Linked DNA regions of Sus scrofa. The protein of the gene in region 2 interacts with the protein of the main gene of each other region in a biochemical or structural test. Links are inferred from orthologs where the notes say so. Each region holds a gene or a part of one and is shown on either strand. Other genes may lie near its edges.

Region 1 (7,737 bases), on a different chromosome or scaffold from region 2:
TCCCAACTCGGCTAAGTCTATGTGGTGAGCGGGAGAGGAAACTGTTTCAGAACCTGGTTAAACAACACTGGATAAAGACTGAGCCCTGACGGTTACACTGCTCCCATGGGGTGGGCAATTTCTCTTCTGCACGGAAAGGGTGGAGCTGAAGGTGGGGCTCTTGTGTCCCCAAACTGCACCTCCATCTCCTTTCCTCTTCCACCAGGCTCTCACTGCATGAAAGGCTGAGGAGTCCCCAGTTTGGAAGATGTTCAAGGCAGGAGGTTTTGTCTGTTTCGGTCATTGTTCTCTGTGTGGAAACCCACAGTGCCTGATACCTAATGGGTGCTTCAGATCAGTAGGTTTCAATGCCTTCATGGAAAGATCAAGATGACTGGGATGAAGAACAGGGAGTGCATGGAAAGTGGAGGGGGATTTGTAAGAAAAAAGGGGGAAATGGGGTCCAAACTCAGTTTTTGGTGGAGCCACTGCTGTACCCCAGCATCCTAGAGGCTGATGGGAGTTGGGATCTACACCTGATTGTGGTTTCCTTTCCGCATCACCTGTTTCCATGGATTAACCTCACGTGTAGCTGGTCTGAGAAGAATGCAGAGTGTCCTAAGAGAGCTTATTTCATTTTATTTGAGTCTTTTTAGGGCCACGCCCGAGGCATATGGAGGTTCCCAGGCTAGGGGTTGAGTTGGAGCTACAGCTTCTGGCCTACACCACAGCCACAGCTATGCTGGGATCTAAGCCACATCTGTGACCTACACCACAGCTCACGGCAACTCCATATCCTTACTCCACTGAGCGAGGCCAGGGATCGAACCCATGTCCTCATGGATACTACTCAGGTTCATTACCTCTGAGCCACAATGGGAACTCCCAAAGCTCATGGTTTGTTTTTGCCTTTTTGTTTTGTTTTTATTGTCTTTTTGCCTTTTCTAGGGCTGCTCCCTCAACCTATGGAGGTTCCCAGGCTAGGGGTCTAATCTGAGCTGTAGCCACCAGCCTACGCCAGAGCCACAGCAATGTGGGATCCAAGCTGAGTATGTGACCTACACCACAGCTTATGGCAACACCGGATCCTTAACCTGCTGAGCAAGGCCAGGGATCGAACCCAAAACGTCAAGGTTCCTAGTTGGATTTGTTAACCACTGAGCCACGACAGACACTCCCCCAAAGCTCATTTTAAAAATCACAATAAATGCTCTCAAAAAACTGTCTGCATCAGCCAAAAAATTTGAGAGGTTGTTTCCAGCACAGGGAGACTCACCACCTAAGCCATATTTGTGGAGCCCTAAGTAAGTTATTTTTTAGTTTCTTTTTTTTTTTTTTTTTTTTTTTTTTTTTTTTAGAGTTCAGATAGCAGGTGACAACTTCAATCCCTTAAGCTTTATTTTTATTTTCTTTTTTGTTTTTTAGGGCCACACCCACAGTATATGGAAGGTCCCAGGCTAGGGGTTGAATCAGAGTTACAGCTGCCAGCCTACACCACAGCCACAGCAACGTGGGATCTGAGCCGCGTCTGCGACCTACACTGCAGTTCATGGCAATGCCAGATCCTTAAGCCACTGAGTGAGGCCAGGGATCGAACCTGCATCCTCATGGTTGCTAGTCGGATTTGTTTCCGCTGCATCTTTTAAGTCAGCAGCGTTTCCTTTACTTGGCCTCCCCTCGTTTGGAACAGGGGAAGCGGGATGTGGGGAGGGGCTGGTTCTCCCGCTCAGTGATTCCAGCAGGTGGACAGCACACTCCTCCCCCCAGTTCCCTCCCTGCCACAAAGGGGGAACCATTTAGAGGTACAAAGCTGTCATTGGGCTTTTAAAATAGCTGAAAACAGAGGCCTTTGGATCAGGTTCCAAAGATTCCTTTGAAAAATTCTTGGAGAAATTTAAGATACAAACGAAAACAAAGTACCAGCAAAATGTTGAAACAAAAGAAAAAATAGCCAGTGTATCAACATTGGGGGTTCTCGCTTCTTACAAGGTTGTAGCAAAGTACTTTCCTTCTTTTTAAGACTGCTTACTCATGAAATCATCCCTTTTTATTTTTCTTTTTAAGGCTGCACCTGCGACACATGGAAGTTCCCAGGCTAGGTGTCAAATCAGAGCTGCAGCTGCTGGCCTACGCCACAGCCATAGCAACGCCAGACCCTTAACCCACTGAATGAGGCCAGGGTTCAAACCTGCAACCTCATGGACACTAGTCAGGTTCTTAACCCTCTGAGCCACAACGGGAACTCAACATCATCCTTTTAAAAGGCAGAGTTGAAGAGAAAAGGTGAAACCCACATCCTTCCCTGTCTCTCTGCTGTAGCCCATCTCCCGTTGTTCCAAGAAGCCCAGGGCCACAGGGCGCACCTCCACCCCCGGCCCCTGCATGCACTTTGTTACCTACCGGATGATGCTGAGGAACTGGGTCATGGTCAGCTCCTGGGGGACCAGGAACTTGGTCTTGTCCAGCAGGGGCAGGAATTTCTCCCTGGGGTAGCGCTCCACTATCACCTGTCAAGAGTTTCAACCTGAATCTCTCCCGAAGCAAATGCCCAAGAATGTGCCTCAGTCTCCGTGTCTTAGAAACTTGGAATAGAGAGAAGGGGGTCACTGCCTGGGTTTGGTCTTGTCTTTTTTTTCTTTTGATTTTTAGGGCTGCACTTGAAGCATATGGAAGTTCCCAGGCTAGGGGTCCAGTCGGAGCTGCAGCTGCTGGCCTACACCACAGCCATAGCCACATGGGATCCAAGACTCGTCTACAACCTACACCACAGCTCACGGCAATGCGGCATCCCTGGGCCACTGAGTGAGGCCAGGGGTCGAACCCACATCCTCATGGTTACCAGCTGGGCTCGTGATTGCTGAGCCACAACAGCAGCTCCGGGTTTTGTTTTCTCAAAGAAGGGGACATCACAGGCCCGGCTGAGGAGCCACAGTGGAGTCTTACCGGGATCTTGCCAGGGAACTTCATCCGGATTCCAGCCACTTCCTCTCTTCTGGTTGCTGTGAACACGTAAGATGAAATGAACATATCAGCCTGGAGCAGAAGTCCGTGTCCTCGTCTTTCCCTGTCTCGAGGGCCCAAACCCAGACAAATACTCTGAGAACTTTACCTAAGCTCTTCCTCTGCTTGAAGGGTCTGAGGCTTGGGCTTTTCTGGGGAGTCTGCATTTTGCTCAACAGCTGTGTCTGTGTCTGAATTGAAAAAAAAGAAAAAAAAAAAGAGTACCTAACTCATTCCTCCAGCTGTTTCCAAACTGCCTGCGGGAGCCCAAAGGACGCTTTTATGTGGGACTGTGTGACATCAGCCTTCTCCAGCCCTCCCCTCCTGGGCAGGAGGGGGTCATTTTTCAGAATGGAAATGAAACAGCCACCTGCTTGCTGGTTAGAGAAAGTCACTTTGCTCACTACCGTTTAAAATGTTGTCTTTGCTAAAGAAATTGAGATTTACAATGTAGGGAGTTTCCGTTGTGGCTCAGTGGTAACAAACCCGAACTAACATCCATGAGGACACAGATTCAACCCCTGGCCCCGCTCAGCGGGTTAAGGATCCTGAGTTGTCGTGAGCTGTGGTGTAGGTGGCAGACAAGGCTCAGATCTCATGTTGCTGTGGCTGTGGTGTAGGCTGGCAGCTACAACTCCAATTCAACCCCCAGCCTGGGAACCTCAGGTGCAGCCCTAAAAAGCAAGAGAAAGAAAGAATATTCCAGAAAGGCTGAGTAACTTGTCCAGATAAAGAGGTAAAATTAGGGTTAAAATCTAGGTGTGGGAGTTCCAGTTGTGGTGCAGCAGAAACAAATCCGACTAGAAACCATAAGGTTGCGGGTTCTATCCCTGGCCTCCCTCAGTGGGTTAAGGATCTGGCGTTGCCGTGAGCTGTGGTGTAGGTCGCAGATGCTGCTCGGATCTGGTGTTGCTGTGGCTGTGGTGTAGGCTGGCAGCTATAGCTCCAATTAGACCCCTAACCTGGGAACCTCCATATGCCAAAGATGCAGCCCTAAAAAGGACAAAAAAAAAAAAAAAATCTAGGCATGTATCAAAGTAGTGTTATACTCTGCAGCTTTCCAGCATATTTTGGTCATTTTTTACAGGTCTAGGAATGTGGGTAGAACACTTTTTATCAAACTCAGGATATTTCTGTATTTCTTTATTGTCTTTTTAGGGCCGAACCCACGGCATATAGAGGTTCCCAGATGCTAGGGGTCAAATCGGAGCTACAGCTGCCAGCCTACACCACAGCTCACAGCAATGCCAGATCCGAGCAGTGTCTGTGACCTACACCACAGCTCTCGGCAACGCCAGATCCTTAACCCACTGAGGGAGGCCAGGGATGGAACCTGCATCCTCATGCATGCTAGTCCGATTCGCTTCCACTGAGCCATGAGGGGAACGCCTTAATGACGGTTTTAGTGACCCCGTTTCCCACTTGATGCCAAGCACCTCCTTACCTCACACCCAGGAGCTCGGCGGTCCCTCCGTGTTATTCAGATCCATCACGTCCTGAGAATAAAAAGGACCATTTGCTTCTGCTCGATTGTCTCTGGAGGTACCATGACCTTTACTGGTCATCCCTGGCTCCCTTCTATGCAGGACACTGAGAAGTCTTCAGCGTAGTGATGATGACACAGGGGAAGGTGACCAAACATTCTCCAGTTTGCTGAGGGACAGAAAGAAAAGCAGTAGTTTACTCTGTTTTTTACACAACTAGTGAAAAATCTTCCCTATTAAAAAAAAAAACTTGCCTTTACCCCTGCCTACGAAGCTAGGACAATAGTTGCCGAGTTCACCCTGAGGCTTTGAGTCTGCAGGGAGGAGCATGAACTTGGCCTCAGTAGTTAGATTGGTTTCTTAGAAGACCTTTAGCTCCTAGGGCCACACCTCCATGGATGAGGTCCATCTTTGATGCTGAGGCTCAGTGGAGAAGGTTGGGGCGCTGACCTGAGGTGCTAGAATGCAGTGGGGGCCTCACAACTTTCCACAGGTCATGATGGCCCTGGGACCCCTTCCTCTTCCCTTTTTTGACCTCCTCTCCTTCCTTCCTGTCTCTACCCATTATCATGTGACCAATTTCTTGAGCTCTGGGCTTCGAGATATACATATATTTATGTATTTTGCTTTCTAGGGCTGTACCTGCAGCATACGGAGGTTCCTAAGCAGGGTGCGAATCGGATCTACAGCCCCTGGCCTACGCCACAGCCACAGCAATGCCAGATCCGAGCCATGTCTGCGACCTACACCACAGCTCATGGCAACGCCGGATCCTTAACCCATTGAGCAAGGCTGAGGATCGAACCCAACTCCTCATGGATACTAGTTGGGTTCTTAACTTGCTGAGCCACAAGGGGCACTTCCTCAAAATTTCTTTTTTATTGCTCAAGAAGAAAGAATCCTACATATTTCATATTAACTTTGTGATATTTTCCTTTCGTGGCTATTTATATTTTGAAAAAAAAAAGTAATCATTACTACCATTTAATTGTTCTGTAGTGAGGACAGGCTATGCTATGCTGCAATAAGAAATACACCCTTGGAGTTCCTGTCGTGGCGCAGTGGTTAATGAATCTGACTAGGAACCATGAGGTTGCAGGTTCGGTCCCTGCCCTTGCTCAGTGGGTTAATGATCCGGCGTTGCCGTGAGCTGTGGTGTAGGTTGCAGACGCGGCTGTGGCTCTGGCGTAGGCCGGCGGCTACAGCTCCGATTCGACCCCTAGCCTGGGAACCTCCATATGCTGTGGGAGCGGCCCAAGAAATAGCAAAAAAGACAAAAAAAAAAAAAAAAAAAAAAGAAATATACCCTTAAATGTAACAGCTACACATAAAGAGTTTGACTTTCATCCACATCGCAGTCCAGTACATGTAGGAGGCTCCCTGTTTGGCTCTGTTCCAGGAGAAATTTAAGGGCATTCTCTGCTTTACACCTGCAGGTTCTGTCACCTCAAAGGCCTTCATTTCCACCAGCTCAGATGGGAAAACAGGTGGAAAAGATACACTTACACTTGGCTTTCTCAGACTTAAAGTGGCACCTTTGAGGGTTCACCCACCTTCCACAGAGGAAAATGAATCACATGATCCTACCTAGAGAGGGGTCTCTATCATTAGCACTCATTTTCCCACCACAATGATTATATTCCAAGCAACTGCTATGTTCTTTATTGATTTTACTTTTTTTCCTCTTTTTAGGGCCATGCCTACAGCATACGGAAGTGCCCAGGCTAGGGGTCGAATTGGAGCTGCAGCTGCCAACCAACCTCACAGCCACAGCAATGCAGGATCTGAGCCATGTCTGCAACTGACAGCACAGTTCATGGCTACACGAGATCCTTAACCCACTGAACAAGGCCAAGGATCGAACCCCCAACCTCGTGGATACTGATGTACCACAATGTTCATCATGTACCCACTGAGCCACAATGGGAACTCCACAATTTCACATTTTAATGTTATCCAAAAAGTGTGCTCTGGGACTTAAACCACATGGAGCTGGACTCTGAATCTACCACCTACTAGCCTTGTGACATTGTGCCAATTGATACCTCTCTCTGTTACCTTGTATATAAAAGCAAAAATAACGCATACCTTGTGAAACTGGGAGCATCAAATGAATTAGTTAACATATGTAAACAGATCTAGAATAATGGCTCGCACATACAACTCAGTAAGCAAAAGTTCCAAGGCGGAGGGGGAGGGAGTGGGATGGACTGGGAATTGGGTTAATAGATGCAAACCATTGCCTTTGGAATGGATAAACAATGAGATCCTGCTGTAGAGCACTGGGAATTATATCTAGTTACTTGTGATGAAGCAGGATGTAGGATAATATGAGAAAAAGAATGTATATATGTATGTGTGACTGGGTCACCTTGCTATACAGTAGAAAATTGGCAGAACACTGTAAACCAGCTATAATGGGAAAAAATAAAAATCATTTAAAAAACATAAGCAGGAGGTCCCGTCGTGGAGCAGTGGTTAACGAATCCAACTAAGAACCATGAGGTTGCTCAGTGGGTTAAGGATGTGGCGTTGCCATGAGCTGTGGTATGGTTGCAGAAATAGGCTGGGATCTGGTGTGGCTATGGCTCTGGCATAGGCCGGCGGCTACGGCTCCAATTAGACCCCTAGCCTGGGAACCTCCATATGCTGAGGGTACGGCCCTAAAAAGACAAAAGACAAAAAAGAAAAAAAACAACCATAAGTGAAAGTTATTGTTTTCACCGTTCTGTTGATGAAGAGCCTGAGGATCAGAGGGGTAACCCAGAGTCTATGAAAAAGACAAGGTCAGTCTGGACAACAGACTTGGCTTATTGACATCAGAAATGTCTTCATCATCAATATTATCCTTCACTGGAATAGGGAGGAAGCACATTTATTGTATTTGACACTGTGCTAATCACGACCTACATTTTTTTCTCAATTATTTCTTCGGAAAAAGAGAACTGAAGCTCAGAGCACAAAATAACATGCACAGCTGGGGGGATTTGAGCCACAGCAAAACTATGCTTGTAATGTGGTTTTGAGTTTTATATTAAAAATTTGGGGGTAGGAGATCTTGTGGTCTTAGGGAAATATTTTCTGAAACATTCCTCCAGCAGTCTCTTCATCCCAGCCCTACTTAAATGGCCAGACTCTCTGTTCCCTCAGTGTGGAGACCTTCAGAGTTCAGATCAAAATGAAGACTGTACCCTCCACCCTTGTGAAAACTCTTTCTTCCCTATTCCCTAAACACCATCACAGGGGGTCACTTTACATTTTTTTTAGGGCTGCA
Region 2 (7,038 bases):
GCCACTGGCCTCCTTCCAGCAGAGTCCTGGGGGAGCAAATGAGCGGCACTGGAGGAGGTGGAGAGCAGCGACCCTGGCCTTCTCAGGGGGTCCAGCTGCTTCACGCCCTACTCTGGGGCTCCGTCATGGGCCGGGCGATGGGAGAGGGCTGAGACTGGGACTTCGGAGGAGGATTTAAAGTCCCACCCACCCTCTGAGAGGCCGTTAGTAGAGCCTGGTACCCGCGTGTGCCTGTGTGCTGGGCTAGGAGGAGGTACACAAGGGGCCTGGCCCGTTGCCTCCCGAAGGGAGAGAAGGGAAGGAGGGTCCCGGAATGCCTTACCCCCGTGCGACGGCAGTGACACAAACGGCTGCAAAGTGGAATCGAAAGTGCGGGAACCGGGGGCTGGCCGCAAGCTTTGACTCGCAAAACCTTGAGAAGCTCCGCCCCCGCTCCTCCGAGCCGCCCCCCCTCCCTCCCCGGGCCCTCCCCCTCCCTTCCAGGGCCTCTCCTCTCCCAACACAGCCGCCAGAGAATTTCTCAGCTCTTCAAAGGCTAAGCGAGGTCCCGGTTGCTGCTTCCGCAAGGACCAGCCAGTCCAGGAAAGAGTTTCAAAGAACCTTTATTTCACCATTCTTTAACCAGTTATGCACAAATACAATGAGACAGACGACTGGACCCCAGGGCCGTCACGGACCCCTACAGTACGACTCAGATGGTCAAGACAGGTCCCATCCCAAATTAACCCTCCCGCTTCACACCCTGCCGCTCTGCCTCGACCCAGAAGCCGTAAACGGTTTAAATAATAAACAGCCTGGTTGGCTTGCAGTCTGAATCCTGACTGACTTAATAGCATTCAAGCCTTATACTGTAAATAAACATTATGGCTAATGATTAACTTAAACCACCATTCATTATAATACCAACCAGGTTAAATAATACTATTTTTTTTTTTAAACTATCCTCCTCCCTTCCGCTGGGGGTCAGGTTCTTCTTTTTCTGCAAGTAACTTTAATGAATAAAATATTTAGTGTATTTTACCGCTTTACCAACTGTACCCAAGGCCCTCTTCTGCAAACAGAGTGAGGATCTGGACCCCTTTTAGTAAACAAGCTCCTTCCCACTCACTTACCCTGGGATTAAGCCAAAACTTTTTTAGCAAGCTCACCCCCATCCAAGTTTTGTGAAACACCAGCCTCTTTTTCCTCTTCTAGGCACTCTGGGGCTAGATAACTTTGAGCAGATTTCAAACATTCAAGAAGCCATCAGGACTTCCTAGGCCTCACACATACTCATTTGCCTGCCCCTGAACTTTACTGAGAATCACACAGGAGCCTGCCTTTCACGTCTCATGTATCTATCACCCCCACCCGCCCCTACTGTAAATAAGACCTGCCCCCTGACATAAAAGGTAACTGTTAAATTTACTCTTCCTTTTAATAGAGGAGTTTTTTTTTATAGGATTAGCAAAATATTTCACACTACCTAATTTTTTTTCCCTTAAATAAAATAAAATGTATGCAAAATTACTACAATAGACACTGCTCAACAGGTGCTGGTGGGTTAATTAGCATACTCCTCCCTCCTGTCACTGAAGAGACCCAGAAGGTGGATATTCTTAAATGCCATCAGTGGGGTCTTTAAAAAACAACAGTGCCAGTTACTAAGGCTTTCAGGGAAATGACTTTCTCCTTGAGAAGGGAAGAGTAACAAAATTCCTATCACACTCTGGGTGTCATTTTAATACCACCTAGCTATGAGGCTTGGGATAGGTTTGAGAGATTATGAGAATAATTCTTGAAAACGACTTCCAAGGTTAATTTCTTTTAAAAACTGACAACAGATATCCTCATAAAAACATCCACCTTAAGCAAAGAAAAATACTCAACTTCAATACAAGCAGAAAGAAAAATGGTTCTATAGGAAGTTTAAGTTATACTCTTCAGTGTGCTAAAACGGAGAAAGGAGTTTTATCCAAATCAACTGAAAAACGCTCTTCATACAATTCATCCAATGTCTAAAGTGAAACTTTAAGTTCTGGTCTTTGATTTGCTCCAAAAAAATACTGCAGTGCAGGTTTTGTCTTGATAGTTCAATGATGGGCTCTATGTAGATTCATTAGATTAAAAATAAGCAAGGGCCTCTCCCCTACACCCCAACAACAGAATAAAGATCATCTCTGAGCAGCAGGCAAAGTAATTTAATACAAGGTCACTCCTCAGTAGCGGTGGCTGTACCAGTCGTTGTTGTTGACCTGAAGGAGTTCTGTCACAACCTGTAGGATGTTGTAGTTGTGTTTCTTCAGCAGCCTTAGGTTCAGCTGCCTGTCACAGAATCCCATTTCAAAGAGATGGGCCATCAGGGCTGCTGTCTGATCTTCAGAAACTATTGGCTGTGTAGAGTCAAGAAAAGCAGAACAACATTTTCTGTATAATTTGCGTTTATCTTATAAATTCTTATTATCTTAAGTCACACTGATCTTTCCAGAGGTGTTCAAAATACTAGGTAATTAGGTACAAGGCTATGGCACTTCTGTTCACCCGATGATAATGGGATTTCCGAGGGGATGGGAAGAACTGGGAAGTACCCAAAGTACCCCAAACTAGGTGACTAATGAACTGCCCTTTGAATGAGGCCAGATAAAGGGAAAGATGCAAACAAACTCTGGAAAAACCTGTGAAGAAAAAGGTAATCATCATGATGGGGCAAGCAGAAGCAAGAGAAGAGACTGATCCTGGAAGAAAAGGATGGGCAATTTAGTCAGATATGCAGAGGAGCTGGACAAAAAACTGTGGGAAACTATATCCTGGGCACCTTCTTGGCTTTTTTTTTTTTTTTTCTTTTAAATAATAGAATATTTATTTACCTCCTTCTTTGGGCCAAGCCCTGTGGTGAACACATAGTCTCCTTTAATCCTCCTAACACTTAAAACACCCTCTTACCATTTACTTACCAACTGTGTTGAGCACCAATTTTCTTAATGAAAATGAAGACACAGAATACTTAATTTTGCAGGGTTGTTGAGCCCATGAAGAAGAGAAAGTATGCCAATGTGTTGAGCACCGCCTCTGGTACTGCCCTCTTCCACTGTTCCCTTCTTCCCTCTTACTTCAGAATAAATTATCCATCTTCCTTTCCAAGTTAATCCTTCCACATGCACTTTCTTTTTTGTCTTTTTAGGGCCGCACCCACGACATATGGAAGTTCCCAGGCTAGGGGTCAAATCAGAGCTGTAGCTGCTGGCCTGGTTGCTGCACAGCAATAGCAACCCAGGACCGGAGCCACGACTGTGACCTACACCACAGCTCATGGCAATGCTGGATCCTTAACTCACTGAGTGAGACCAGGGACTGAACCCACATCCTCATGGATACTAGTTGGGTTCGTTACCACTGAGCCACAAAGGGCACTCCTTCCACGTGTACTTTGCTTTGTATCTCATTACCTCCCACCACCTCAGAAATATTTTCCCATTGATTATTCATAAATACTAATGTTCTATTAATTATTCCTATCTCATTCTGATTATTAACCTTCTTTGCTACTGACTGGCTCACGCATCTTTAAAAAACAGTCTCCCTCTGCCTCACATGTCTCAGTGTTTGCTCTCTTTTTCCCTTCATACAGTCCAGCTATTTAAAAGTGAGACAGGAGTTCCCGTCGTGGCGCAGTGGTTAACGAATCTGACTAGGAACCATGAGGTTGTGGGTTCGATCCCTGCCCTTGCTCAGTGGGTTAACGATCCGGTGTTGCCGTGAGCTGTGGTGTAGGTTGCAGACGCGGCTTGGATCCTGCGTTGCTGTGGCTCTGGCATAGGCTGGTGGCTACAGCTCCGATTGGACCCCTAGCCTGGGAACCTCCATATGCCGCGGGAGCGGCCCAAGAAATAGCAAAAAGACAAAAAAAAAAAAAAAAAAAAAAAAAGAAAAAAAGTGAGACAGACTTGAAGATCCTGTTGTGGCTCAGTGGTTAGTGAATCTGATTAGCATTCATAAGGATGGGGGTTCGATCCCTGGCCTTGCTCAGTGGGTTAAGGATCTGGCGTTGCCATGAGCTGTGGTGTAGGTTGCAGATGCGGCTCGGATCCTGTGTTGCTGTGGCTGTAGGCCAGTGGCTACAGCTCCAATTGGACCCCTAGCCTGGGAACTTCCATATGCCACAAGTGCAGCCCTAAAAAGACAGAAAAATAAAAATAAAAAAATAAAAATGAGACAGACTTGTACTCTCAAAGTCCTCTCTATCCCTTCACACTTCTCTGCAGGATCTCATGCTGCTGGCTATGTCCTCCTCATTAAAACTCCCTTCCCTAAGCTCCAGCACAGAACCCCCTCCTTCATTTTCCTCTAAATCCCAGTCCTCTCTGCAGGGCCCTTCTTCTTTCCATGATCTTTAGAGGCTGCTTCTAGCTTTACCCATTCTTCCTGGAAAATCATATCTAATCACATGGCTCCTGCTATAACCTGTACACACATGACTTTATTTCCAGGCCAAACCTAAGCCAGAAACTTTTATCCCTGACTTCTTTCTAGCCACTTAATCATCTCCATCCCTTTATTTCTTTGACCTACACTTGGGATTCCCAAATGGATTTCTTTTCGGCTCCTCCAGCCTCTACACTATGGTGGAGTGGAGTGATCCTACTAAGGACAAATCTGATTATGTTAATTACTTTTCTAAAACACTTCAGTGGCTTCCCACTGGCCTTAAAACATCAGGTCTTTTTTCTTTCCTCCTTTAAGTAATATAGCCAATGTCATGCAGCTGGAAGGTGGCAGAGTTGTGTGTTAACCAAAGATTAAACTTAGGAATTCCCACTGGGGCGCAGGTCACAGCTGCGGCTCAGATTCCATTCCTGGCCTGGGGAACTTCCATATGCCATGGGTGTGGCAAAAGAAAATAAATACACTTTTTAAAATTTTAGCCATAATTTTGTGTGGCCAAAAAAAAAAAAAAAAACAAAAAAACACAAAACCTTAAAGCTCATGTTTTCCGTGATGCAACACTACTCTCTCCAACACAGAGAGATGCCATCGTTTTCCCTGGTGACTTGGATTTGGTTCAGGAAAATAAAACATACACTGACCTGTGCAGTGACTGGTGGCCCAGCAAACAAGGCCTTGTATGCGGAGGCAGCAACAGACAAAGCCCCCTTCATCAGTCCTCCAGCAATGCTGTTCCCATGGTGGTGGTGCCTGTGGAGAAAAACCAAATTATCTTCCTAAGGAAACACAAACCATTATCTTCCTATAAGATAATTTGGGCTCTAACCCTGGAAAGAAAAAATTTCCTTGAGGGAAAAAAATCAGATGTAAAAAGATAATGTGGTTATTTCTGTATCAGTATTACAGCTACAAATCTGGGTTTGATATAGGGCACAGCTCTACTGCTACTAGATATGGGCACTGCAGAAAACACAGCACTCCAGTTAGCATGCCAGCTTTCAGCCCCAGCTGAGAATTAATGTGGTCAATTAATGAGGTACTGACAGTCTGTCTGCTCAATTATTTCAGAGGAAACATCGCCCAAAAGAAATGTGATCTTCTGAACATTGTAGGTAGGGAGGAGCCTGCCCTGACACTGCTCTGAGATGACTGGGAACAGAGACACAGGTTTGTCTATTAAAAAGTTACACAAATACACAGTGGGCTTGCCCTTCCCACTCTCTTCCTGGTACTAAGCATGAACTGAATCTGAGCGCAATTCTTCCTGGTCTGGAATTTGAAGACTCTCTTTTTTTGGGGGGGGGTGGGCAATGTCATGCAGAAGTTTCTGGGCCAGGGATCAAACCCATGCCACAGCTGTAATCAGAGCCAAAGCAGTGACAACTCTGGGTCTTTAACCCACTGAGCCAGGAGGGAACTCCTGGAATTTGAAGATTTTTTTTTTAAGGGCTACACCCATGGTATATGGAAGTTCCCAGGCTAGGGGTTGACCAGGAGCTGTAGCTGCTGGCCTATACCACAGCCGCAGTAATGCAGAATCTGAGCCATGTCTGTGACCCACACAACAGCTCACGGCACCACCGGATCCTTAACCCACTGAGACCAGGGATCAAACCCATGTCTTCATGGAAACTAGTCAGGTTCTTAACCTATGAGCCACAATGGGAACTCCCTGAAGACTTATTTTTTTCATTTTTATTTTTCGGTCTTTTGTCTTTTAAGGCTGCACCAGAGGCATATTGAGGTTCCCAGGCTAGGGGCTGAATGAGAGCTGTAGTTGCCGTCCTAAGCCACAGCCACAGGAATGTAGGATCCGAGCCCCATCTGCGACCTACACCACAGCTCAAGGCAATGCCGGATCCTTAACCCACTGAGCAAGGGCAGGGATTGAACCTGCATCCTCGTGGATGCTAGTCAGATTTGTTTCTGCTGAGCCATGATGGAACTCCCTCTGAAGACTCTTAAACATCACTAGCCCTCTGTTTAGTGCTGCTCACAAGCTTCAGAAGAAATAAGAACAAGAAGGAATGATGGCTGTCCTTCTCTGCTCTTGGGAGACGGCACATGCTCTGAGAAGCTCGTTTAAGCAGAAGCAATACTAGGATATCCACCTGCTTCTGAAGAAGAGGCTGCACAAGGTCCAGTTACCTTGAGTGGTCATAGCTCTTCTGTCTGCTGTTTACAAGTCCTGATGAGCCTCTGAGCTCTAAAAGCAAAAGAGCTGTTGGTTAGATGCAGCATCCATAAATGCTTGGTGTTTCCTACCTCACAGCAAGGCTATTTTTAAGGCAGGTGGCATCTGATCACAGTGTTTACAGTTTTGTTTCTTTTTTTTTTTTTTTTTAATATTTCGGAAATTTTGCAGGTGTTTAAGTGATAAGGGAAACTGTCCGGAATGCAAACTATTTATTGAATCAGCAAATGAATTCTATAATACTATCACACTGGTTTGCTAGTTCTCAAGTACTTCTGGGTTTTGTTTTCTGAGGAGGAATGGGAAATGACTCCGAGGATCTACTTGTAACTCCAAGGGGTTATTCCTCTTATTTTGTAGACAAGGAAACACCTTCAGGTGTTATAAGCCTGCTGAACTGCTGCAAGGTCACACAGTGAGAA

Evidence for each region.
Region 1: the proteins of NBR1 (region 2) and MAP1LC3C form a complex in vitro, tested with the Homo sapiens proteins (2 studies listed by IntAct). The link is inferred for Sus scrofa from reciprocal best matches to the Homo sapiens genes NBR1 and MAP1LC3C.

What each region holds. Positions count from the first base shown.
Region 1 is NC_010452.4:15,368,376-15,376,112, reverse strand, and holds the start of MAP1LC3C (microtubule-associated proteins 1A/1B light chain 3C), read right to left. Parts: upstream 4,932-7,737; 5' UTR 4,424-4,931; intron 3,487-4,423; exon of another isoform or gene 3,171-3,486; 5' UTR 3,147-3,170; coding exon 3,089-3,146; intron 2,979-3,088; coding exon 2,923-2,978; intron 2,487-2,922; coding exon 2,380-2,486; intron 1-2,379.
Region 2 is NC_010454.4:19,755,151-19,762,188, forward strand, and holds the end of NBR1 (next to BRCA1 gene 1 protein), read right to left. Parts: intron 6,629-7,038; coding exon 6,571-6,628; intron 5,173-6,570; coding exon 5,064-5,172; intron 2,373-5,063; coding exon 2,199-2,372; 3' UTR 583-2,198; downstream 1-582. UniProt on the Homo sapiens protein: Ubiquitin-binding autophagy adapter that participates in different processes including host defense or intracellular homeostasis.